Linked DNA regions of Elephas maximus indicus. The protein of the gene in region 1 interacts with the protein of each later gene in a biochemical or structural test. Links are inferred from orthologs where the notes say so. Each region holds a gene or a part of one and is shown on either strand. Other genes may lie near its edges.

What was found.
Region 2: the proteins of SATB1 (region 1) and PIAS1 form a complex in vitro, tested with the Homo sapiens proteins (2 studies listed by BioGRID, with this or other methods). The link is inferred for Elephas maximus indicus from reciprocal best matches to the Homo sapiens genes SATB1 and PIAS1.

The regions. Positions count from the first base shown.
Region 1 is NC_064845.1:21,470,602-21,482,620, reverse strand, and holds the start of SATB1 (DNA-binding protein SATB1), read right to left. Parts: upstream 5,475-12,019; 5' UTR 5,254-5,474; intron 5,245-5,253; exon of another isoform or gene 4,975-5,244; 5' UTR 4,886-4,974; intron 128-4,885; exon of another isoform or gene 1-127. UniProt on the Homo sapiens protein: Crucial silencing factor contributing to the initiation of X inactivation mediated by Xist RNA that occurs during embryogenesis and in lymphoma.
Region 2 is NC_064831.1:58,148,123-58,160,509, reverse strand, and holds the start of PIAS1 (E3 SUMO-protein ligase PIAS1), read right to left. Parts: upstream 5,238-12,387; 5' UTR 5,193-5,237; coding exon 5,169-5,192; intron 1-5,168. UniProt on the Homo sapiens protein: Functions as an E3-type small ubiquitin-like modifier (SUMO) ligase, stabilizing the interaction between UBE2I and the substrate, and as a SUMO-tethering factor. Catalyzes sumoylation of various proteins, such as CEBPB, MRE11, MTA1, PTK2 and PML.

The DNA.
Region 1 (12,019 bases):
GAGAAACGCTACAACTACTAAATCTCGCCCTGAATACATATACACACAATCTGTATCTATTTACTCTGAAATGAAATATCTGATCTTAAAAAAGACTTTAAAAAAATAAACAGCAAAAGGTACAGTTGGCATAAGTTCAAAAGTACTAAATAATGTGTGTTAATGTGTTGATCACACTCCACGAAGACATCAAGTTTAAAGAGACTTACCATGGAGAACAGCACTTAGGAATGATATATAAATTACCATAGGAGACACTTTTTCTTTGGTGTAGCGAAGGAGAAGAACCTTGTACAACAGATTTGATTTATATGCTGTATTAAGACCACGTTCTGCTCTGATGTCAATGGAATATATGATTAGCAATTGACAACTGTGTGTAGACCATGAGCGTAAGAGCTACTTAGAGAATGTAAGCGATAACAAGCATTTTCTCAAAAGTTAGTTATGGGTTTTAGAATTCACCTTAAAACATATTTTGAAGTTTCAAGGGGTCTTACCAGAGAACAGTCTTGTAATTAAAATACAGAACAACACATACATTTAATATTATAAGAAAGCAGAAATCTCCTTTCTCTTAAGGTTGGCAAATTAACATGTAAGAGTGGTAAGAATATTCTCAGGGGAAAGCAACGGTATCAATCAAGCAATCAATAAGCCCCACTTTGTACTCATATTTGCAGATCTCCATCAAAAACTGAAGCATTTTATCTAAGATTTGGAAGGGAAGACACTTTCTCAAAGTTATTATCTAAGAAATGACATCGTTTCAGTCATCGATTTGGAATGTTACAGAAAGTTAATTTAGCAAACACACACTTGAATGTGTTTGAAGGTATTTGTCCTGAGGTTGCTCCAGGATGACTATTAGAAGGGGCACGCAAACTCTTTTTGGATATTGATGTTATAGTTGAGGTATGCAAAGTAAAAGTGCGTACCATTTCTTTCAACTGGTTCTTACATGACAGAAATGAGATGAAATTACTTCTCTTTAAAGTTTTGCCACTGGGAAATGAAAAAAACTCCTCCCTACCTCTAGCCCCAACCAGGAAGAGTCTGAAGTCCTGGATTACAGCACAGGTAGATATTAAAATGGAGACAGAGCCGTTATTTAGTGGTGACAGGAATATAAATACGTGCACTAACCTATAAACTGGTATTTACTTCAGGAAGGTAAGTAATATTTTTCCTCTGATTGCTGAGCTGTCAGTTTAATGCAGCGTAAATAAACAGTAGGTGCCTGCTAGTTTGAAGTAGGAAGTGTTCATTCCACAAGAGGAACAGATTACTGAAGCCTGATGCTCATCATGCTGAAACATAACTTTCATTTTACCAGAAAATATACTCTACCATGGATGGTTTTTCATGCTTGATCTACTAATTAACTTAACTCTTGTCAAAATGTAAACCAATTTGTAAAAATCAACTCAAGAGTTTTGGAGTTCGCAACCTAAATCAATTTGATAAGCAAGAGGAATGACTCTCCTGTAATCTGATCACAAAAGCTAAAAATGAATACTTAATATAATCAGCATAAGCTATACCAAACCAAAAAGACAAAGAGCAGATTTAAATAACATAGAATTCAATAATCTGAGTTATTTCATTTACTCAAAATCCTCATTTGCTAATTAAAAGCATAGAGAACCTTTAATATTTTGCAACCTTGTGCTATTTAGGTCTGTTCAATATGTTTGTATGTTCTGCTCTCTGAAATATCTCACGGTAAACCAGTCATAAAACTCACATCACACTTCATTCCAATAGGAATATTACTGAACTCTTCTGAGAGAAGCGGCAAGTTTGAAGGTCAAATGATGATACCCTTCCTAACAGCATTCTTGAAAAATGTGTCCCCCCCCCATTTTATATATGCTACAAAGCTATGATGGTTTATAGCAACTAATTTTCTCCTTATACACAAATACTGAGCAAAATATTTCATGGCATCATTTAAAAGGGGAACCCACCTTATCTAAAAAGTCTGAAAGACAATTTGGGGAGACTTCTATTTAAAACATGAACAAAAAAATTGATAACTAATCGATCGTACAGGAAAAGAGTGGGGTGTGAAAAGAATATTTTGCATTTAACTACAACATGTCTAGACAGTCTGAAGACTGATTCAGTCATATGCATTTATTTTATGTACTTCATCAATCCCAAGTACTAATGTAACATAAATTAGTCATCCAAGACAACATGTGTGGAAGAAACGATGTCTTACGTAAAGGGCACATCTATGCGTGGCCCTCGGAAATTTACAGAGCAGATGAAAAACCACTAGAGTGCTTTACAGAGTCCCTGCTGTATATCCGTGTTGTGTTTAGCTTGATAGTGTTTGTAACCAAGAGATTTTTACAATAATGGGGAACAGGTGCCTGTCACCTGACCTTTTAGGCCTAATTTACAATCCACAACCTGCCACATGAAAAAAAAGATCATTGAAAACCTTCTCCTGATCTTTTAAGTCTTAGCTAAGTTAATGCAGGCTTCAACCATCACTCAGCATTTTCATATCTTATCCAATCAGGTTCACAGAGCTGGCAACAGACTCCTTTGCAGAAGAAATAAACCAATATTCATTTTGTTGCTGCTCGTGTTTAAGATCCCGGGAGACAAAAGAGCTACTTTTGTAGATTTATCAACCAAAGAATATATTAATTTATTAAAACAACTGCACAAAAGGCATTCCTTTTAAATACTTTTACATACAAAGAACTATTATTTATTACATATTTCAGCTTGTGGGAAAATGAGGAATGCATTGATTCTGTAAATAACTATTCAGACTTTTGGAAGTCTTTTTAGGTCTTCTCTCTCTATCCCCCCCCCCCCCCACCCACTCCATTTTAAGGAACCAGTACTTTAGGAAGGAAATCCCTATTTGTTCCTTTTCATTCACCATTTGTATTCATTATTCAGAAAGGAACACAAAATTGAACCGCGATTTTATTTCTCTTGTATAATCTTGTTACATCTAGCCGTATTCAAATTCAACAATGCTTTGTATTTTATAGCTACTGTTTACTTATTACGTATTACATAGGACTGAACAGCTCTACATTTAAAATACTGTTTCCATTAGAAAAAATATGAAGTAATAAAGTGTCAAATGGAGATGAGGAATAGACATGTTTGGTATGTTTATAAAACGCACAGCCGTTTAAAATGTGCACAAACAGGACACATATTTTGCCAGTGTTTTGTTTTATGTGGCATGCACGCTGCCTAAAGTGTATTTAATAATATGCCTAACCAAGTTAATTAAAGTATTTATGTCTGGTGATTGTGTTAAATACTTGGAGAGGTAGTGAAAGATACAGCCAGTTACTTCTGCTAACTAAAGTTGAAATTATGCACTTATTATAACCTTTTCTAACAATGTGAGAAAAACAGAGTAAATATATTAAATTTGTTGCACAACAGATGCTTAGGTTGTTAATATTTAAGATGCCTATTCATGCTATTCCTGTCTGCACATTTGTCAAAAATGTAAGCTTGAATGCTAATGTTTGCCAGCAGACTGGAGCAGCCAGTATATGAATGTACTACCGTTCTGCTAAAATAATATGCAATAGAAATAAAGGACTGCTGCACGAGCACCAAACAGCAGATTAAAGGTTTTGAGAGCAAACCCCTCAACCTTGGTTTTCTCCAGTCTTAAAGTACGCTTTGGTTTTGTGCAGCTACATTTGACTGTACAGAAGGAATTCCACATTCCTGACATCTCAGAAAAATCCACGTTATCGAGGGTGTAAATTTCAATAAAGTTTCAATGGGATGAGTTACTCCATCAGCAGCAAAACACATTGTGAATTCCAGGGACTGCTCAGGACAAAACCTGACACTGGGCGGCTGTGTTTTACTCATTCTTACCCCCTTTCTCTGTCCTCTTGGGAAAGTCAGGTCCCCTTGGCCTCCCAGGATGCAGGCGCAGAACCCCAATTAGTCCAGGCAGAGAGACTCTCTCCCGGATAGGGCATCTTTGGGTATTCCCTTGTCTCTTTCACAACCATATGGAGTACAAGTCACATTTGCCTGGAAGTCTGGAACGCCGCTGAGAAAGTTCATGGAGGAAAGGCGCAGGGGTCAAAGTCGCCAACCAGGGCACTCTGAGGGCGACCCTGGGGTTGACACTTGTAAGTGAAATGTGCAACGCTCTGGGGGAGGCCGGAGCCAAAACTAAGAGAAAGAGCCCTGCGTCCTTCTCCTCTCAGTTTCCTGGGGTCATCCCCAAGGTGTCTTACTGAATGCGTTTCCCCGGGACGCGCGTGTCACTCCCCGGACCTGCCACCTGCCTGTTTCGTCCCTTCCACGGTAGTCTTCCAAACCCCCACGCTCCGCCGCCCTGGGAACTTCAGCAATGGTGCGCTCGGAGAAGGCCGCCGCGCTTGGGTCCCCGACCGCAGGAGGGGGACACGGTGCGGGCCCGGAGGCCGTACCTGAGGTACCCCAGCTCCCGCTAGGAGGAAGCACCTCCTTCCTGCCTCCAGCCCCACTTGGAAGCCACATTCCTGCCGGCAGTCCCTCCAGCACCGACCTCGCCACAGCCGACTAGGGCTCGAAGGCGCAGTGCCGCGGCTTGCAAACTCCCGGCTCAAACTTGAGCGCCCCGGTGCCGGAGTGGCTCCCGGGATGGAGAAGTTGCCACAAACTTCCCAGGCCCCTTTCCGCCCCGCACTCGAGCAGCCACGCCGATGGGGGGCGGAGGAAGGCGGAGATGGACTGGGGAAGGATGCTGAGCCGACCGGCGATCCGACCGGGGAGCGTTTCCACTCCCCCAGCCCACTCAGCCGCGCGCCTTTCTGCCTGCCGGGCCCGGGGGCCGCACAGAGAGGCTCCCCTTTCTCCCCATTTACTTCCTGCAGTCTTTTCGACTCACTTTTCTCTTTCAAAAGAGGCCATACCGAGGTCCTGGAGGGGCTTGTGCAGCCCGGGTCTGTCGGGCAGGTGTGTTAGTGTGTCCACACCCTAAGAGAGAACGAATGGTATCTTCAAGTCCCCCATCCCGGTGGCTCGCCCTCACTCCACTGGCCCACCACTTTGGGATCTGACTGCGCGAAAGACCCCTGCCGCCTGGCGCCCACAAGAGGGGAGCCGAGTCGCCCCAGCAAGGGGCACCATGGGTGGGTGCCACCGAGAAGTTTGGATTGATTCCGAAAAAGAGAGACAGTGGGAGATAAAAGAGCAAGAGAAAGAGCAAAAAAGAAGGAGGGCGGGGGAGAAAGGAGGCAAAGGAGCAGAACTCACTCAGGCATGGGCGTTGGGGACGGCGGTGGCTGTCGAGTGCGGGCCCGAGACCCAGAACGGCTCCCTGGGCGGGCGCGCCGGCGTCGGACTTCCGAGGCGGCGGCTTCTGCCTTCTGCCGCCGCCGCTGGAGCTGCGGCTGCCGCGGAAGTTAATTGCAACTTGACTTCAAGTTGTCTTCTTTCCCCATCCGAAGTGGGCGTTTAAAGGGGAGAGAGAAGCGAGGAGCGAGCGAGCGAGCGCGCGGGGCCGAGGGAAGGAAGAGCAGGGGGAGGGAGGAGATGTTAACGCGGGAGGGGGAGGGGGCGGCGGCGGGGGCGGGAGGGGGAAGGGGCCGGCGGGAGCTGCTCTCCGCTCGGCGGTCGCCGCGCCCGCAGTCTGGAGCGCACCGGAGCGGCCGGGGCGCCCCCCGCGGGAGCCCGCAGCCACCCGGGGCGCGCATCCAGCCGCGGCGCCTCGGCCCCGGCACGCTGCGCCCGGAGGCTCGGCGGACCCCGCGCCGCCGCCGCCGCCTCCGCCGCCGCCTCGGAGCGTGTGCGGCGCGGGCTGGCCGGCGGGGCGGCGAGGGCCCGGCCCGCCTCCCCAGCGCCCGCCCCGGCTTCTCCCCCTGGCGGTGGAGCCTCGGCGGCCGCCGGCCACACTGGCTGCGCTGGAGCCCGAGCCGAGCCGAGCCCGAGCCGCTGCAGCCGTGTGCCGCTCTTGGGCTCTCTCCCCGCGCGCCGGCCGGGGTGTGGGGGGCGGCGGGCTGGAGGGGCGAGGGCGGGCGAGGGGGCGCGCGGCGGGGTTGGCGCCGAAGACCGGACCCTCGGCCACGAGGGGTAAGTGTGGGCGCTTGGGGGTGTGCTTGGGAGTGCGCGGCGCGGGTCTCCAGGCCCGCCAACCCTGCCCCCCTCACCTCTCCAGGCCCCCACCGCTCGCACCCCTCCTCCTGCCGCCTGCGGCTTCCTCTTGTTGTTCGTTGTTGGCTTGAGCTTTTTGGAGGGGAGTGAGGGGGTGACTGTAGTGTGTGTGCCAGCGGAGGAGGAAGTCAGGTGAGAGGCCTTGATGCACCCCCAAACCCATCCGGAGCGGGGTGTATCGCTCCCCAGTAGGGACATGTGGGCCAATTTATTTCTCTCGTCAGTGTTCGATCGAGACGATCTTTCCTAGAGGGCCTCGTTCCCTTACAGTCTTGCTATGTCCGAGTCCCTTCACCCCACTCTCGCCCCTCCCGGGCCCTTTACCCGTAGCACTGCACCCCAGCTGAGGAACACGTGATGAATGGAGGAGAGGGGTGTTTTGTAAACCCCTACGCCATGCCCCAGCCTATTTATTTCAATATTCATCCTTCCATCAGCCGCTGTACTTCTTTTCAACCCACTGGAAAGGGACGCCTAAGCTGAGGTTCAATTTCCCTCAAAAAGCAGGGGCAAAGAGGATGTCATAGACAGGGGACTCGGGAGAGGAGAGGGGCAAGGACACCTTAGCAAATGGGGACTGAAACCTCAAAAACCTTCTCTGCAAGATCTGGGGTGACTGTAGGCTCAGGACTCCTGGCTAACAAGAAACTGGACCTCCATCAACTTTACCCCCTTCTTTCCTGTCATTCCACCCCCCAGCTCTAAGGAAGCTTAACAGGTCTTTTGTTTTTGTTTTGTGTTGTCTTTGGGAAATTTGCCTTGAGTATGACAACAGAAAATTACTACTGTTTACTCATGGTTAGGAGGATTGTGGAAAGAAAAAACATAGCCTTCTCTTTGTGCGTGTGTGTGTGTGTGTGTGTGTGGGGCAAGAAGTGCAGTTGTGAGGTTCATGGCATGAACTGCAAAACAATAAGGACTGTGGAGCTGCCTCCATGTATTTTTAGAAGCTGCACTTTCTTGAGTTCCTTTCACACAAGGCTTGCTCCCTTGTTAAGTCCCCATAAATAATTGTATTTAGAGAGAAGGAATCTAGGGAAGCAGGAGGGAGAGTGCTAAAATCTCCATCCTGCCAGCGCAGAGCACTGTTTGCAGTGAAGTTCCTGGAAAGTGACTGTGGGCTGAGAATTCAGTTTTTCCTAAAAGCTCTGTTAGGTCCTCTTCTGTCATAAAGCACGCTGGGAAAATCCTGATATCTGTGCAGTCTTATTTTATCTTTTACACAGCGGTTGATTCAACTTTCAAGCCTGGGTAACACACACATCCACTGTGTTGTATTTTTGTGTGGTTTTTCTAAATAAAGGAGAGCAGCGCATGTATTCCTGCTGCTTTCTGATATGCCAGTTCTTTTCTGTCAATGGGTATTGAATTCACTGGAATTCATCTGTCTTTTTCAGCTGATTATCTTTTTATGCAGAGACAATTCCAAAGACATAAAAACATAAAAAGTTTTATGAATTAGAGTGTGTTTCTTTAGACAACTGGCCCCCCTCTTTTGTAAGATATGATTGGCAACCTCAACTCCTACTTCTGTAAAGCAGAAGGGTATGAATGTTGCAATGGACAAAGCGAAGTAAAACACATATTTTCCTCCCTGGACCACTATCTGCCTTCACACATCCCAGGAGTCACCAAGTCCTTCTGCCTTAATTTACCAGAATGCTGAATTGTCTAACCAGTACCAATATTCCCATTTGAGAATGACATCAGTTTGGGTATGGAAATAATAAATTCTCAGTCCTTAATTACTGCTTATTAGCAATTTTTTTGTCACAGACAACTGATTCTCCAATTCCAAAAGCCAGAAATGAAACTTAAAAGATACTGAAATACAAAAAAAAAAGGGTTTTTTTTTTTTTTGTCTCTTACACACTGATATATTCATCTACTTCCCCAAGTTATCAGCTGAGCCCACATAAGTTAAGGTACAAGATGTACCCAGGAGTTGAACCAAGGGAACATTTTGCCCCAAACCTTTTGAACTTGCTTTTATTTTCTTCTAAAGAGCTTAGTACGGAGAGTTCATAGGCTTAGTATAAGATGGAATTTTGTAATGCTGACCACAGTACATTAAATAATATATCTTGATAAACTCTTACAATGTATGTGCCTTACCCCTGGCATGTAGTAGGAATTCATTACATACTTGCTGAATTAAGAGGGTAATGAAATAATGTAATTCAGCTCAAATTCACTAGTACAGGGCTAAGCCTTCCTTCTGAAGAAAAGAGCATTCAGTGTGAAAGTTACTAGGGTATGACATTTGTGCTTCTAAATTTTTTTTTTTTTAACAAGTTCAGATCTAACTTAAATAATTGAAGGGCAAATAAATCTGAAACCTGTCACGTGGTTAATAACAGTAGTGAACGTCAAAAGGTAGCCCTGGTGGCCAAGTAGTTAAGAGCTCAGACTGCTAACCAAAAGGTTGGTGGTTTGAATCCCCCAGTTGCTCCTTGGAAACCCTAAGCAGTGGTTCTACTCTGTCCTACAGGGTCGCTGTGAGTCAGAATTGACTTGACAGCAACAATATCAAAAGAGGGAGCACTAGTGACGCAATAGTAAAAGTACTCCACTGCTAACCAAAAGTTCAGAAGTTCGAACCCACCAGCCACTCCGTGGGAGAAAGATGTGGCAGTCTGTTTCCCTGAAGACGTAGAGCCTTGGAAATCCTATGGAGCTGTTCTTTTCTGGCCTTTAGAGTCACTATGAGTCGGAATTGACTCATTGGCAGTGGGGATGTCAGAATCTACACTGGTTGTTTTCCTCTGAGAACAGACAAAATATAACCTACTATATAGTATGAGAAAGATGCAAGGAGGAACAAAACAGTATTGGCCCTCAAGGAACTTATTTGCTGGGAAAATGACATTAAAATGTCAAAAAGACAGCCCAGTGAATCAGTAAATAGTTTGAATCAAAGTAATACTTGAGAAAATTGATTTTATTTTTTTGTTTTTAAAACAGAGGAGGTAGAGTTCCTGGAATCTCCAGGTTGGGAGGTATTTTAAAGGCTGGTTTTGCTGTCGAACCCTGAGGGGCCATCCAGTGCACACGTCCTGGTCCTGAGTGACTGGGAACGCACCACTTGCCTCCATGAGGGTAAGGGTTTTACCTACAGAGCTCTTGGCACAGAGTAGAGTTCCATATATATTGTGTGGATGAATGAATAATTTCTGAAGTAGTTCCATCTTTTTATGCTTTATTAGATTTTCTTTCCTTGTATTACACAGAATTGGTCTTCCTGAGGAGGCCCTGGTGGCGTAGTGGTTAAGTGCTACGGCTGCTAACCAAAGGGTTGGCAGTTCAAATCCGCCAGGTGCTCCTTGGAAGCTCTATGGGGCAGTTCTACTCTGTCCTATAGGGTCGCTATAAGTCAGAATCGACTCGACGGCACTGGGTTTGGTTTTGGTTTTTTTTTTTTTTTTTTGGTCTTCCTGAAACTTCTAACCATTAGCTTTAGTTCTGCCATTTACAGCAAAGCAGAGCAAATCTGTTGTATCAGTCAGGACAAGCTATCTTATACTGGAAAAACAAACAATTCCAGTTTTTAGTGGCCTTGTGATCTAGCAGCATCTGAGGCTGTCTACATTCAGGAGAATCAGGATCAGACCAAAGCTGATTCCCATGAGGCAGAGGTCAGACATTTTCACCATTTCTGACACCAGCCAATCTCCCCACCCAGCACTCTCTAATTCTTTGCTGGGTTTGATAATTCATTGCAGTGGCCACACACAACTCACAGACCATACTCAAAATGAGGCGGTTTATCAGGGAAGTAACAGGCTATGACTCAGGATCAGGATCAGTTTAGAAGTAACAGGATACAACTCAGGAGACAGGATATAGTTCGTCAATCAGGACAGCTTCCAACCAGGACAGTTCTCAGCTCCTTCTTGGCCATGCCCACAGGCAGGCCCTTCTCTGGCCATGCCAGTTAATAGTCCTTCTCTCAGCCACACCATCCTACAGGCCCTCTCTAGGCCTCTGCCCTGCTCGAGCAAGTGTTAATAGTTCTTTATCCCTGCCAGCAAATGCTCAGAGTCACCCCACTCTGCAAGCACGCCTCCTGCCTAAAGGCACTCAGCTCTCTCTTGTTCTGTGGGCTGGCAAGTCCACCACAGCACCTTCACTCTGTGGGCTGACAGGCACCACTGCAGCCATCTGCCAGTCCCGTGATTCTCACTGCTGGTACTGCTGCCACCGTTTCTTTGGTCCTGGCCTCTGCTGTGGTTACCACCATTTCTTGCCATCTCACACTGTCTTCAGTGTTACAACTCTCTCTGTCTCCTAGGTCTGGGAGGTTCTCAGTGCAGGGACCTTGGGTCCAAAGGAGCCCTGCTCCAGGCTCTTCTTGATGGGAGTGAGATCCCCCCTGATTCTTTGTGGGGTTGGCCTTTATGTAAGCAAACTCCTTGTCAATTTCAAGGCATGCCCTCCCACCAGGACTACGAACTGACCAATCCCCTCAGAAGACGACAGTCGCTCAATTTACATGTTAATTGGCCAGTTCCCACAAGGTCACTTAATCCTATTATGTGGTTTTCCACATCATATTTACATAGTATTCTGACCAATCACTTGCTAGATTTTGGCCTAGCCAATCATTCTGGCAGAATTACAAACACAAGGCCAGAAAGGCCATATGTAAGAGAAAACCATATATAAGAGAAACCCATTGCACTGAAGGCCTATTACAGCAAAGAAATCCCTGGGTGGTACCAATGGTTAGGCACTTGGCTACTAACCAAAAGGCTGGTGATTCAAGTCCACCCAGAGGCACCTCGGAAGACAGGCCTGGCGACCTGCTTCCCAAAAGGTCACAGCCTTGAAAACCCTATGGAGCAGTTCTAACTCTACACGTGTGAGGTCACCATGAGTCAGAATTGACTCAATGGCAACTAACAACAACAACAATAAATGGCAAAAAGAAAGATCATTTTGGAGGGTCTTATGCTGGCATTTACATGCTGTGGGCCAGAAGTAACACAAATCATTTGGGCTCACACCTATATGACCAAGACTAGTTGCATGTCTCCATGGAGCCACCACAAGGGGGCCAGATAGTGCAGCCTACCTTGGGCCCAAAAGTAAAGATCTGTGGTGCACAGCTCTAAGGACAACTGTCCTCATAACCACATGATAGCTCGCCAGCTAAACAATCCCTTCCTGCCACCATGGGCCCCAAGTCATCCCTTCTTCAGGGTAAATACTGCCAGAGTTGCCACCAGCTTATAGAGAGACATGGTGACTTCTTTCACCATCTCCTTTCTTTGAATGAAGTACTGACTCACTTTCCTCACCCCCAAGTGTCATGCCCTATCCATTATAAGTTACTTTGTTATATTTAGTAATATTTTATACATTTTATTTTCTCAAGCCTTGTTTTCCTGGAAAGGGTGCGATGAACAGAAACTTTTAACAGCTGTATCTGAAGATGTCATGATCATTATCAAAACTTGAAATGTGATCTTGAGTAGTCACTTCCCTTATTTCGAATGTCAAATGCTTTGTATAATCTTGCAATGCAAAAAATCCTCTTGGAATTATTTATTCATTCATTCATATATTCATTCATTCAATAGTCATTGTGTACCTACTAGGTGCTAGGCACTCTGTTAAGGACTGGGGACTTGGAGATGACTAAAGGTCCTTTTCACGAAGAAACACATTTCTGATTGGGCAGACAGACACAAAAATTCGCGACAATGCTAATAGAGGCACCAAATGCTATGGGAATATTGGGGAGAAGCGAATAGCTCTTTGGAAGAATTTAGGAAAGCTCCAGAGAGGAAATTGACTCTTGAACTAAGGCTTGAAGGATGAATGAGGACCCTCTAGGCAGAGAAGGTAGATGGGGGGAAGATGTTCC
Region 2 (12,387 bases), on another chromosome or scaffold:
CTTGACAGCAACAGGTTTTTTCCACTTTATAGCTTTTTAATGTCATTTAAAAACTGATGAACATCTAAATATGGCACATAAACTTGCAATATTTAATGATTATAATTTCCAAAATCAAACATACTTGAAATAAGTTATACATGCTATTTCATAATCCATTTCATACTCCATCAAATGTTCTAATTCAGAAGTAATATTTGCTTACATTTTATAAAATCTATCTCTGCCATCATTTAATAATCCTATACGACACATTTATAGAAACAAATAATAAAGGTATAAACAATGAACAAAGCAAGAACTAACTTAATTCACTCACAGCACTTCATCTAATCAACATATCATTTGCACTGATCCCTAAAGCAAGAAGAAGGTCTGTCATATCAATTTATTTAATTAAAATAAAACATCTGCAAACTTTTACATAAGGATGTTTGTCAAGGCACTGTTTAAAATGGACAGGGACTAGTTGAATAAAATACAATGTAATCTTTAAAATGATAACACAGACCTATACTTACTGACCTGCGAAGATAGCTATGAAAATAGCAGATTACAAAAAGTGTAGAGTGTGATCTCCTTTTGTGATGAATAACCATACACTCACAGAGAAAATGACTAAATGGATATATACCCAGATGATACTTCTGGGTGCTGGGATTACAGGTGTTGCTTATTTTTCTGCTTACTTTTCAGTATTCTCTGAAATTTTCCCACGCAAAACAACATCTGCAAGAAGTAATGCCTATGATTTCAACTAACAAACTCCAAAATCTTCCTTGCAAAAAACCCAAGGAATATCCAAACATACCCTGACATAAAGCAAAAGGGAAAGTATTAGCAACAACATAACTGGAATTCTTCATGAACAAGGCACCCTGTAGAGGCAGGGCTTCGAACTGGTTTGTTCCAGGTTGACCCCCTGCTGAGAATTTGCCTTTCCATCCCAGATATACTCAATCAGAATCCACATTCTCCAGGTGATTCTTATGGTACATCTACATTTTTAACAAGATCCCCAGGTGATTCTTATGTACATAGCTGCTTTTTTAAGGGGGGAGAAGAATCACCTGGGGGCTTGTTAAACTGTAGAACCTGATTCAGTATATCTGGGAGTGGAAATCCAAATCCTCACCAGCATGTTCGAAGCCCTGCTTAGAGGGTTCCAGGACTGCCATGGCACCTTTAAAGCAGCCTGCACCCCAAGGTTTTGAAATCAGAACACCTAGGTTCAAGTCTCTACCACTTTTATTTGTATGACTTTGCGCTTGTCACTAACCTCTTCAGGGCTCACTTTATACATAAAAGGGAGGTATCATCTGCCTTGCCTACCTCAAAGAACTGCTGGAGAGATCACATGAGATAATTCATACAAACTGCAAAGTACTATATGAAGTAACGGACTAGGTTCTCTTTGTTTTTGAAGGCTATATCTCATCATAAGCATCTAGTTTTCTCAGGACTTAGATACTTCTTCCCAGTTCCCACTACAAATACAAGCTATTTTATTTTCTTATCCCTAGTTACCAGCAAGAAAAAGTACAATTACACTGGACTCAAAAGTCTCAGCAAGAACCCTGGAGCAGCAGGTTGATGGAATCCAAGTTTAATCAGCTATGGACTAACCACTAAGCACTACTGCAATCAACAGGGATTACGAGTCACTCTTGGAAGAAAAAGACAATACAACCACCAAGGAGAAAATGGGGGTAGAAAAGATGGCAGTATTTCAAAACAATTATATGAAATACTTAAAAACTAAAGAATTTTAAAAATTGTTTTCAAATAATGTTCTTAACACCGGTGACATAAAACAAAAGTCATCTAAATGTGGCACTTGACAGCAGCAAGTTACAGAGGTTCAAATCAAATCCATGAATTCTCAGATTTATTTGCTTCTATCTGAGACAAAGGCTGACAAACTACACCACGAAGGTCAAAATTAAGTGGCTACTTCTTGAAAATAAAACAGGCAGAATTCAACAGGATTTACTGATACTCTTACCAATACTTTAAAAAGTGGTTTCTCTTCCCACTCAACTACTTCTTTCCCACTGTTACAATGACAATATAATTGTTTTTGCATTTTAATGCAAAAAAATACTATTAAAAAAAAAAGCACACTTTAAGAAGAGCTACACTTAACTGTCAGATTATTAATACCAAGATCATCAGGCCATTTCATCCTTCTACTTTTAAGTTCCTAAAGATAATAAAATGCTCACCCTCTACATTCTTAAGAATGTCACTTATGGGTATCCTCTAATGAAAAATTCAACCTTCCATAACTGTGCACAGAGAACTCATTTTGATATGTATGACTCACAATCTAATTTTTATTGGCAATATCTTGAAGTGCTAAAGCTTGAACTATTCCTACAAGGGATATGGATCTATCGATTTTGGCCATCTGATCTTTAGAGTTTTATTATAGATTTGAAAGGACTCACTAAAAATGGGACATGAGGAGAATAATTACGAATACAATCCACAGCCAAATGAAATGTGGGTTGTGAACTAATACAGAAAAAGTCACTATATTAACTCAAAGCCTCATAGTTGGAAATTTATTGGGAGTGCTGTATTTTCACTTAAAACTTTGAAAAATCTCATTTTTAAAAAATTATTCTTACTTTTCCTACTTTATTACAACAGTTACTTACCTCCAAAAACCACAAACGAAAACCCTCAGAAAATTTCTAAAACAAGTATCTTCCAAAACTCACCGCACAGAAACATACAGACATTCTCAAACAACCCTAACATAGGTGTTCCTGAGATTATGCCCCACCTCCAGGGAAAAACAAAACAAAACCAGCAAATCTAACCACAATCAAGTTTTAACAAAAACGGTAACACTGTTATCACCAGCTAAGCAATTTATCACAGCTCTTCAAAGTATGGGGCACACAATGACAGACCAGTATGTCAAAACAGTTATTATAATTTGAAAATTTATACAACAGGAACATGAAAGTAAAAAATAACTCCTCCAGAAAAACTGAAGTACATTTTGGAGAGAGGCAAAAAAGGAGACCAATACTAGAAAAATAACGTTTCCCCCAAGTGTTCAGCTCTGATACTGGCTGTTTTTTGTAAAGAGAAACTTTAACAAAACTCACGCCAGGGATCTGATCTATCCCCAAAGGCACTTTCTTAAAATGAGAAAGAACAAAGGAGAAATCTCCCAGCATGTGCTTCCCATACCAGTTTCTTTGGACAGCATCAAGAGTGACAATATAGCCAGAACAAGCTTTTCGGCTTTACTCTGTGGTCCGTGTATAACAGAACTCATTAGCTTTCATCTAAAAGGATTCCTAACAAAATGAATATCAGAAGGCAAAGATCACAGCAACATATTGACCGCATTTTTAGAGAGTAAAACCATAGAAAACACGTATCTTAAAGTTGTGTACTTTTACTCTCTTTAAATATCTCCAAGCATCCCAATTCCAAGGTTTCCTCACTTCAGTCAACAGTTTGAAGCTGGGGAAAACGAAACCAACCGTTCTAAATCTGCTCTTCCTGAAGTAAATTGGAATTAGAAGCAAATTAAAAGAGTGACACTAAAGCCAACACCTTACAAATCTTGCAATGTTAACATTGCAAAGTTACTGGAGAAAAACGATCTTCCAGGGAGGTTTTTTCCACAAAAAACTCTCCAGAAAGAAACCTGGTATCTGGATGTTCTAGAAGTTCTCGTGTCATTATAACGGAGAATTTTTTTTGAATAATTTTTATTAATTAAAAAGAGACTCTCCCCGCAAAGAATTACAATTGTTTATCCCAAGCTCCACTCTGACAGAGATGTCAGTTCTCTGGGTCAGGATATAATCGGCTGCTTGGTTCACACACAGGAAGCCACAGAGATGGGAATATAACGTTCAGAGCTTCAAAATAATACGCGTTAGTTAAAAACGGCTTGCTACTAAACCAAAATTATTCAAGCGGAGCCCCATTTGTCACAATCCAATCATAAGGGTTCCACCCCCTCCCCCAACTGCTTGTGTAGTGGTGTATCTGCTTCGGTAAAGAAGCCATCGTCAGGTAAAGAAGATTGGGGTGGGAGAAAAAAGCGGGGAGAGGGGGGCACCCTTTCATCTCATTTCGCGAGCCGTGAGTAATTGGTACAGTTGAGAGGAACGGAGGAACGTTCTATTTATTGGGGGTTGCTGGAGGATGAGGGCAGAATTTCGTTCAAATCAACATGGCCAACAAGATGTCCCTACAAACAAAAGGCAACGGGGGGATATAAACACGAACCATTCACCTCCGGCAGCTATAGCATCGCCATCATGGTGTGTGCAGAGACCCCCAAAGGCTCCGTTCACCCTCCACACCAGCCAGAGAAGGAAAAGAAGGGAGAAGAGGTAGCTGCATCCCACCACCCAACACTGCATCCAAACACACACCCTTCGAGGGGGTTTCTCCCGCCGGTTGCCCGGAATCAGAGAGAAAGAGTAACGTCCCGCCCAGCCAGACTCCCGCCGCTGCCCCACGGCCGAACCCCAACGCCGGCCCGGGGCTCACTAAACTTTACCGGAGCTTCTCCCCCACATTCCCACCCCATCACCCCAGGATCGCGCGTCCCCCAAGCGGGGCGCCCGGGCGCCTCCTGACAGGCGGGCAGCCGGAGAGAGCCGAGTCCAGGGTGGGGGTGGCAGAGAGCCACGGAGGGGCGGGGCGGCCGGAGCCAAGTTCCCGGGGGTCTGAGGAGAGCGCCTGACAGGAGCCCGGGACTGCAAAGGAGGAAGAGGAAGCGGCGGCGGGGAGCTTTCCCAATCCCCCCTACACGGACACCCAGCCCCCAGCCACAGCTCCCCATGGGGGGCGGGGAGGCAGGCAGGAGGTGAGGGCGCGGAGCCCCAGAGGCAGCCGCAGTCCCTGCCTCCCGACTCCCGATCTCTTCCCCCGCCACCCCCGCCAGAGGCGCCCACAACAATAACACGCCGGGGACAACCCGTCAGCGCCCCCGAGGCACCCGGGGCCCGCGGCCCGCCGCTACTGAGCCCCCTCTGCCGGGGCCCGGCGCGCCGCTCTTCCCTACAACTCCAGGCCCGGGTGGAGTCAGGCCGGAGCGGCCCCCCAGGGTCGGACCCATCCCCCCCGGCACCAGCGGCGCCGTCTCCGCGGCCGAATATTAGAAGTGAATTCGAGCTGCGCTTTACCTTTAGTTCCGCACCGTCCGCCATCTTGCGTCTGTCAGCGCAAGCGCAGTGAACCTCGCCGGGGGCCGCTCCTAGACCCTCCCCTCTAGGCGGCCTGGCCCCGCCCCGGCCCGCCCCCCCTCGCCCCTCCACCTTCCCGGCCCGCCCCCGGAATCCGCCCCGCTCCGGGCGCTCGGAGCCCCGCCCCCGGCACGTACAGCTGCCAGACAGGCACGTACTATTTAAATAATGGCGCCAAGCGGGGAGGTTTGACAGTTACTCCCCCGTCGGCCTCCCCGCCCCCCATCGTCGCCTGGTTAGCGCCTCCGGGGAAAGGCCCGGGAGAGCGGGCTGCTGGCCTGAGCCCCGCCCCTCTGCGGTCCGCGGAACCCTCTGCAAAGCTTCCATACCTACAGCCACGGAACAGCAATGCCCCCCTGTCCCAATCAGAAAGTCTTTTTGAGCACCTGCTGCCTCCGAAGCTCCAAAAAAAAATAAAGCTCCATGTGGGCTAAAAATAACAATCCGTTACATTTGAGCAGCACTCGATGAAGCATTTCCAGGTTTATTAGCTCAAATCCTCCTCATGACAATGCGGTACAGTAGGCAAGGGAAGAGATTATCATTTCCATGGTAAATATTCAGAAATGGAAGCTCAGAGAGGAAAAGTGGCTTGCCCCAACAGGTACTTGACAGAAATGCCCTAAACAAAACTCTGAAGGTGTTCCTCACTTAACTTCTTGGTTTCAACAAGCTTTTATTTAGTGACTGTGTACTGGCCCTGTGTTAAACGTTACATATACTTTGGGAAATTAAACAAAACAAAGTCCCTGCCCTCCTGTAGCTCTCTGACTAATGGGGGAACAGACAAGTGAACCAATAGAGATGGAATTACAGATTGTGGTGAGTGCTGGAAAGCAGCAGATGGTTTAGCTAGAGAGAAAAAGGGATTGGAAGGAGTTGTATTTAATCTTGACAGGGCTTTCTCTACTGAGGTGACATTTAAGTAGAGACTTGACGAAAGGATTATTCTATACCTTTCTCTACTAAAAACTCCTATACTTCTTCCCCATCTGCCACTTTTTGCTGATCGACTTTGTCTCATACCTCATGCAAAAAAAAAAAAAAAAGATATCTTTTCACCATCAAAACTACTCTTACCTGCATACTAGTAATATTTGAATCATTATGAATGAATTGTCCCTGAACCTCTGAAGCTCAGTCCTTAGCCAGTAACCTGGATTCCTTTCCGCTCCACATTCCTAAGGATTTTACTCCTACAATTACCTCCCCCTTCTGCATTTTTGGAGCCCTGATGGCTTAGTGGTTAAGCATTCAGCTGCTAACAAAAAGGTCGCAGTTCAAATTCACCAGCTGCTCCTTGGAAACCCTATGGGGCAGTTCTACTCTGTGCTACAGGGTTGCTAGGAGTGGGAATCAACTGGAAGGCAATGGGTTTGATTTTTTTGGTTTCTGCATCATGACTTTTTTCCCTTTCTATTGGATTACGTCTATCAGCATATCAACATACTGAAATTTCTGCCAAAAAAAAAAATTTTTTTTTTTTAAGGTAAGCCTCCCTTGACTCAAAAATTGCCTCCAGCAACCACCCTATTGCTCTGCTCTATTCACTGCATAAATTCCCAGAGGAGTTTTCCCAGATCTCTCTACTGTGCCTATTCCACAGCTTCAAACAGTTTGTACCAGTCCAATCCTCTGTGGAGAATTTGAATTTCCACCCCAGATGTACTGAATCAGAATCTACATTTTAACAAGATCCCCCAGGTGATTTCTATGTATACATTTACATTTTAATAAAAAATTAAAAAAAAATTTTTTTTATAGGCTCTCTTAAAATGTAGATTCTGATTCATTATCTCTGGGGATATAAAGGCAAATTTTTGGCAGGGAATAGAACTGGAATGAACCGGTTCAAAGCCCTGGCCTACTCCCACTTCCTCACCTCACTTTTTCTTTTCTACCTACCCAGATCTGGCTTTGGCATTCCTCATCATGATCATTTATCAAGATTACTAATGATCTCTATCTTCCCAAAACCAATAGCCAATTTCCATTTTTATCTAAATTGACCTTTCATCAGAATTGCAAAGAGTTGACTCACTTCCTTTATCTTGAAACACTTTTCCCTCTGGACTTCTCTCAACATGACACTGTTCTGATTCTCCTGTCCCCTCCACAGACCTCCTTTTCAGTACCTTTTGCTGATTTCTCCTGTAATGCTCAACCTTTAAATGTTGGAGTGCTCCAGGGCTCAGTTCCTGGCCCACTTCTCTATTATACTTTCACCAGAAGATCTCATCCAATTCCTTGACTTTAAACCTATATGTTGATAACTTTCAAATTTCTCTCCAGCCCAGTCCGCTCCACCAAAACCCAGGTTCACAAATCCAGCTGGCTACTTAATATCTCTACTTCATGTCTTCTTGTCATCTCAACTCATTATGGTCAAAGACCGCTCTTGATTTCCACTCGCAATCCTGATTTTCTGGTGGTATTCTCAGTGGATGGCACCACTACCCACCTAGTTGTTCAAGCCAAAAATCTAGATGTCATCCTGAAACAGCACTTTCATTCACCTCCCACACCCAATCCGTCAGCCAGGCTCTCTGACTCTTCCTCCAAAACATATACCAAGCCAGTCCTTTTCCTGCATCTTCATTCCCATCAGCCTCCTCTTGAGTTTCTACTCTTATAGTCTCGTGCCTAGGCTGCTGCAAAACCCTCTCAATTTATAGGGCCACAATGTGACTTTAATAGCCCAGGGCCACTAAAAGTATTGGGGTCCCCATACCACACACAAAAATTAACTCAGAATGGATCATAGACTTAAACATAAGAGATGTTGTTGTTGTTGTTGTTTTTAGGTGTTGTCAAGTTGGTTCCGACTCATAGCGACCCTATGCACAACAGAACGAAACACTGCCTGGTCCTGAGCCATCCTTACCATCGTTATGCTTGAGCTCATTGTTGCAGCTACTGTGTCAATCCACCTTGTAGAGGGTCTTCCTCTTTTCCGCTGAACCTGTACTCTGCCAAGCATGATGTCCTTCTCCAGGGACTGAACCCTCCTGACAACATGTCCAAAGTATGTAAGACGCAGTCTTGCTCTCCTTGCTTCTAAGGAACATTCTGGTTCTACTTCTAAGACAAATTTGGTGTTTCTTTTGGCAGTCCATGGTATATTCAATATTCTTCCCCAACACCACAATTCAAAGTCCTCAATTCTTCTTCAGTCTTCCTTATTCATTGTCCAGCTTTCATATGCATATGATGCGATTGAAAATACCATGGCTTGGGTCAGGCACACCTTAGTCTTCAAGGTGACATCTTTGCTCTTCAACACTTTAAAGAGGTCCTTTGCAGCAGATTTACCCAATGCAACACGTCTTCTGATTTCTTGACTGCTGCTTCTATGGCTGTTGATTGTGGATCCAAGTAAAATGAAATCCCTGACAACTTCGATTTTTTCTCCGTTTATCGCGATGTTGCTCTTTGGTCCAGTTGTGAGGATTTTTGTTTTCTTTATGTTGAGGTGCAATCCATACTGAAGGCTGTGGTCTTGGATCTTCGTTAGTAAGTGCTTCAAGTCCTCTTCACCTTCAACAAGCAAGGTTGTGTCATCTGCACAACACAGGTTGTTAATGAGTCTTCCTCCAATCCTGATGCCCCGTTCTTCTTCATATAGTCCAGCTTCTCGGATTATTTGCTGAGCATACAGATTGAATAGGTATGGTGAAAGAATATAACCCTGACGCACACCTTTCCTGACTTTAAACCAATCAGAATCCCCTTGTTCTGTCCAAACAACTGCCTCTTGATCTATGTAAAGATTCCTCATAAGCACAATTAAGTGTTCTGGAATTCCCATCCTTGGCAATGTTATCCATAATTTGTTATGATCCACACAGTCGAATGCCTTTGCATAGTCAATAAAACACAGGTAAACATCCTTCTGGTATTCTCTGCTTACAGCCAGGACGCATCTGACATTAGCAATGATATCCCTGGTTCCACATCCTCTTCTGAAACTGGCCTGAATTTCTGGCAGTTCTCTCTCAGTATACTGCTGCAGCTGTTTTTGAAGGCTCCAGGAATTGATGGAATATCGATTGAGATGTTTTGACAAACAGATGCAGCACTGGAGGTGCTCACTCTTCTATGCAAAGAAATATGGAAGACAGCTTCCTGGCCACCTGACTGGAAGAGATCCATATTTATGCCTATTCCCAAGAAAGGTGATCCAACCGAATGTGGAAATTATAGAACAATATCATTAATATCACACGCAAGCAAAATTTATCTGAAGATCATTCAAAAACATAAGAGATAAAACTATAAAACTCTTAGAAGAAAATATAGGAGTAAATCTCTTTGACCTTGGGTTAGGCATAGCCTTTTAGATATGGATTAAACAGACCCTGTTGGAGGAAATGTATAGACATTGTATAGCCACTCTGGAAAATTGGTAGTTCCTTAGAAAACTAAACTCAGCAGTTGAACCATTGGATATTTATTCCAGAGAAATGAATACTTATCTTCCTACAGGAAGTTTCTACACAAATGTTTGTAGCAAATTTTGAGATGTAGAATCACCCTACTTACAAAAAGCAGTTTGGCCTTAGTTCTCAGTTCTTTCCAGCTGGAACGACACCTGAGGCTAATGAGTGGGGGCTGACCAGCTCAAGAGAGACCACCTGGGGCTCAGTAGCTCAGTACTAAGTTTCAGGAGTCCTGATGTAATCTATCATGGCCATGTGGTGAGGCTAATAAGAGCCCTAAGCCTTGAGGCTAAGATAGAGCTACGTGGTTGGTGACCATGCATGGGAGAAGGTAGTACATCTCTCTTTGGGACTCTCCCAAACCTTACCCATGTATTTCTTCATTTGTGCTTTTTGTTTATAATAAACCTGTAGTCATAAGTATGGTGTACTGTCCATGAATTCTGTGAGTAATTCCAGCAAATTAATGAACCCACAGGGGCAGTGAGAGCCAGCAGGGGCTGGCGTCTGTCTATTTGACAGTCTGAAAGAAGGTGTCCTTCTAATGTGTGAGCTCCGACCTAGCTTTGAGTGGTTATGGCTGAAAGACAGTGTCCATCTAACTTGTGAGCTCTGACCCAGTTCTGGGAGACTCGGGCTGACTCAGCAATAAAAAAGAACAAACTATTGATACACACAAATTGGATAAACCACAAAAAAATTATGCTGAGAGAAAAAAAGGATACATAATGCCTGATTCCATTTATGCAACATTCATGAAACGAAATAATTATGGAGTTGGAGAATGGATTAGTGGTTGCCAGGGATTAGGGCAAAGAATATTGAGTATACCATGGACTGCCAGAAGAAAAAACAAAGCTGTCTTGGAAGAAGTACAGCCAGAATGCTCCTTAGAAGGGTGGGTGGCAAGACTTCATCCCACACACTTTGGACATATTATCAGAGGGACCAATCCCTGGAGAAGGACATCATGCCTGGTAAAGTAGAAGGTCAGCAAAAGAGAAGACGGTTAAAGAGATGAATTGACACGGTGGCTACAACAATGGGCTCAAACATAGCAACAATTGTAAGAATGGTACAGGACTGGGCAGTATTTCGTCTGTTGTATGCAGGGTTGCTATGAGTTGGAACCAACTCCAAGCACCTATCAACAAGAACAACAGGCATTAGGAATGGGGGAAGGGATGGGTGTGGTTGTAAAAGTAACAGGAGGAAGTCTTGTGATAGTACAGAGGAATATCTTGATTGTTGTGGTGGTTACACAAAGATCTCAAGCAAAATATTAGCAAATTCAATCCAGCAATATACAAAAGCATAATGCAACATGACTGAGAGGAATTTATTCCCAGAGCATAAAAGGTTGCTTAACATATGAAAACTAATCAATTTAATTTCATCACATTAACAGAGAAAAATCATATGATCATGTTGACAAACGCAGAAAAAGGACTTAACAAAAATGTAGCACCTGTTCATGATATTAAATTTTAGAAAACTATTGATAGTAGGGAACTTCTTTAATATGATTGTAAGTATCTACGAAAAAAATGCTACAGAAAACATTAGTGTTAAAGGTATAATATTAAAAACATTCCCTTTTTTAATCTAAAAGTTCCCTTTTTAACTCTTAGGAAGCTATTAGTAGACGGGAACTTCTTTAATATGATTATAAGTAACTACAGAAAACACTAGAGTTAATGGTAAAATATTGAAAACATTTCCTTTGATAACAGGAACGAAGTAAGGATGCCCACTATTCTCATCCCTGTTTATAATGGGCTGAAATCTTAGCCAGTATTAGAAGAAAAATCTTAGCCAGTATTATCAGGACTGGAAAGAAAGAAATAAAGCCATCATTCACTGGGAACATGATTTTGTATGGAGAAAATCTAAAAGAATTCTCAGAAAAACTAGTTATTAGAATTAAATAAATTTATCAAATTCACTGGATACAAGCTCAGCTAACAAAAATCAACTATATTTCTACATATCAACAATAAACAAAAAACATAATTCAGAAAAAGATAGCAATTACATATTAAAATAACAACAAAAATCTTCAAATAAATCTAACTACAACAACAAAAGGCCTTTACACTGAAAACTACTAAATTTTTGACAAAATTAAAGAAGACCTAAATAGGAGGATTATATCCTGTGCATGAATTGGGAATACTCAGTATTGTAAAGATTTCAGTTCTCCAAAAATTGACCTAAAGATTCGATGTAATTGCAATCAAAATCCTAGTAGATTTGTTGTGGAAAGTGATAAACTAATTCAGAAATTTATAGAAATGCAAAGACTAAAGAATAACCAAAGCTATCTTGAAGGGAAAAACCAAATTGGAGGCCTGACATTACCAGATATCAAGACGTATTATAAACCTAGAATAAATTATTATAGTGTTGGCACACACAGACACAAAAACCCACTGCCATCAAGTTGATTCTGACTCATAGCAACCCTATAGAACAGAGTAGAACTGCCCCATAGAGTTTCCAAAGAGTTCCCGGTGCATTCAAACTGCCAACCTTTTGGTTAGCAGCCATAGCTCTTAACCACTACACCACCAGGGTTTCTGGTATTGGCACAAGGATAGATAAATAGACTGATAACAGAACAGAGAATTCAGAGACACTTGGGGAAAGGGTGATCTTTTCAATAAAAGATATAAGTCAATTGGATATCATTTAGCAAAAAAAAAAAAAAGATTCTTGAC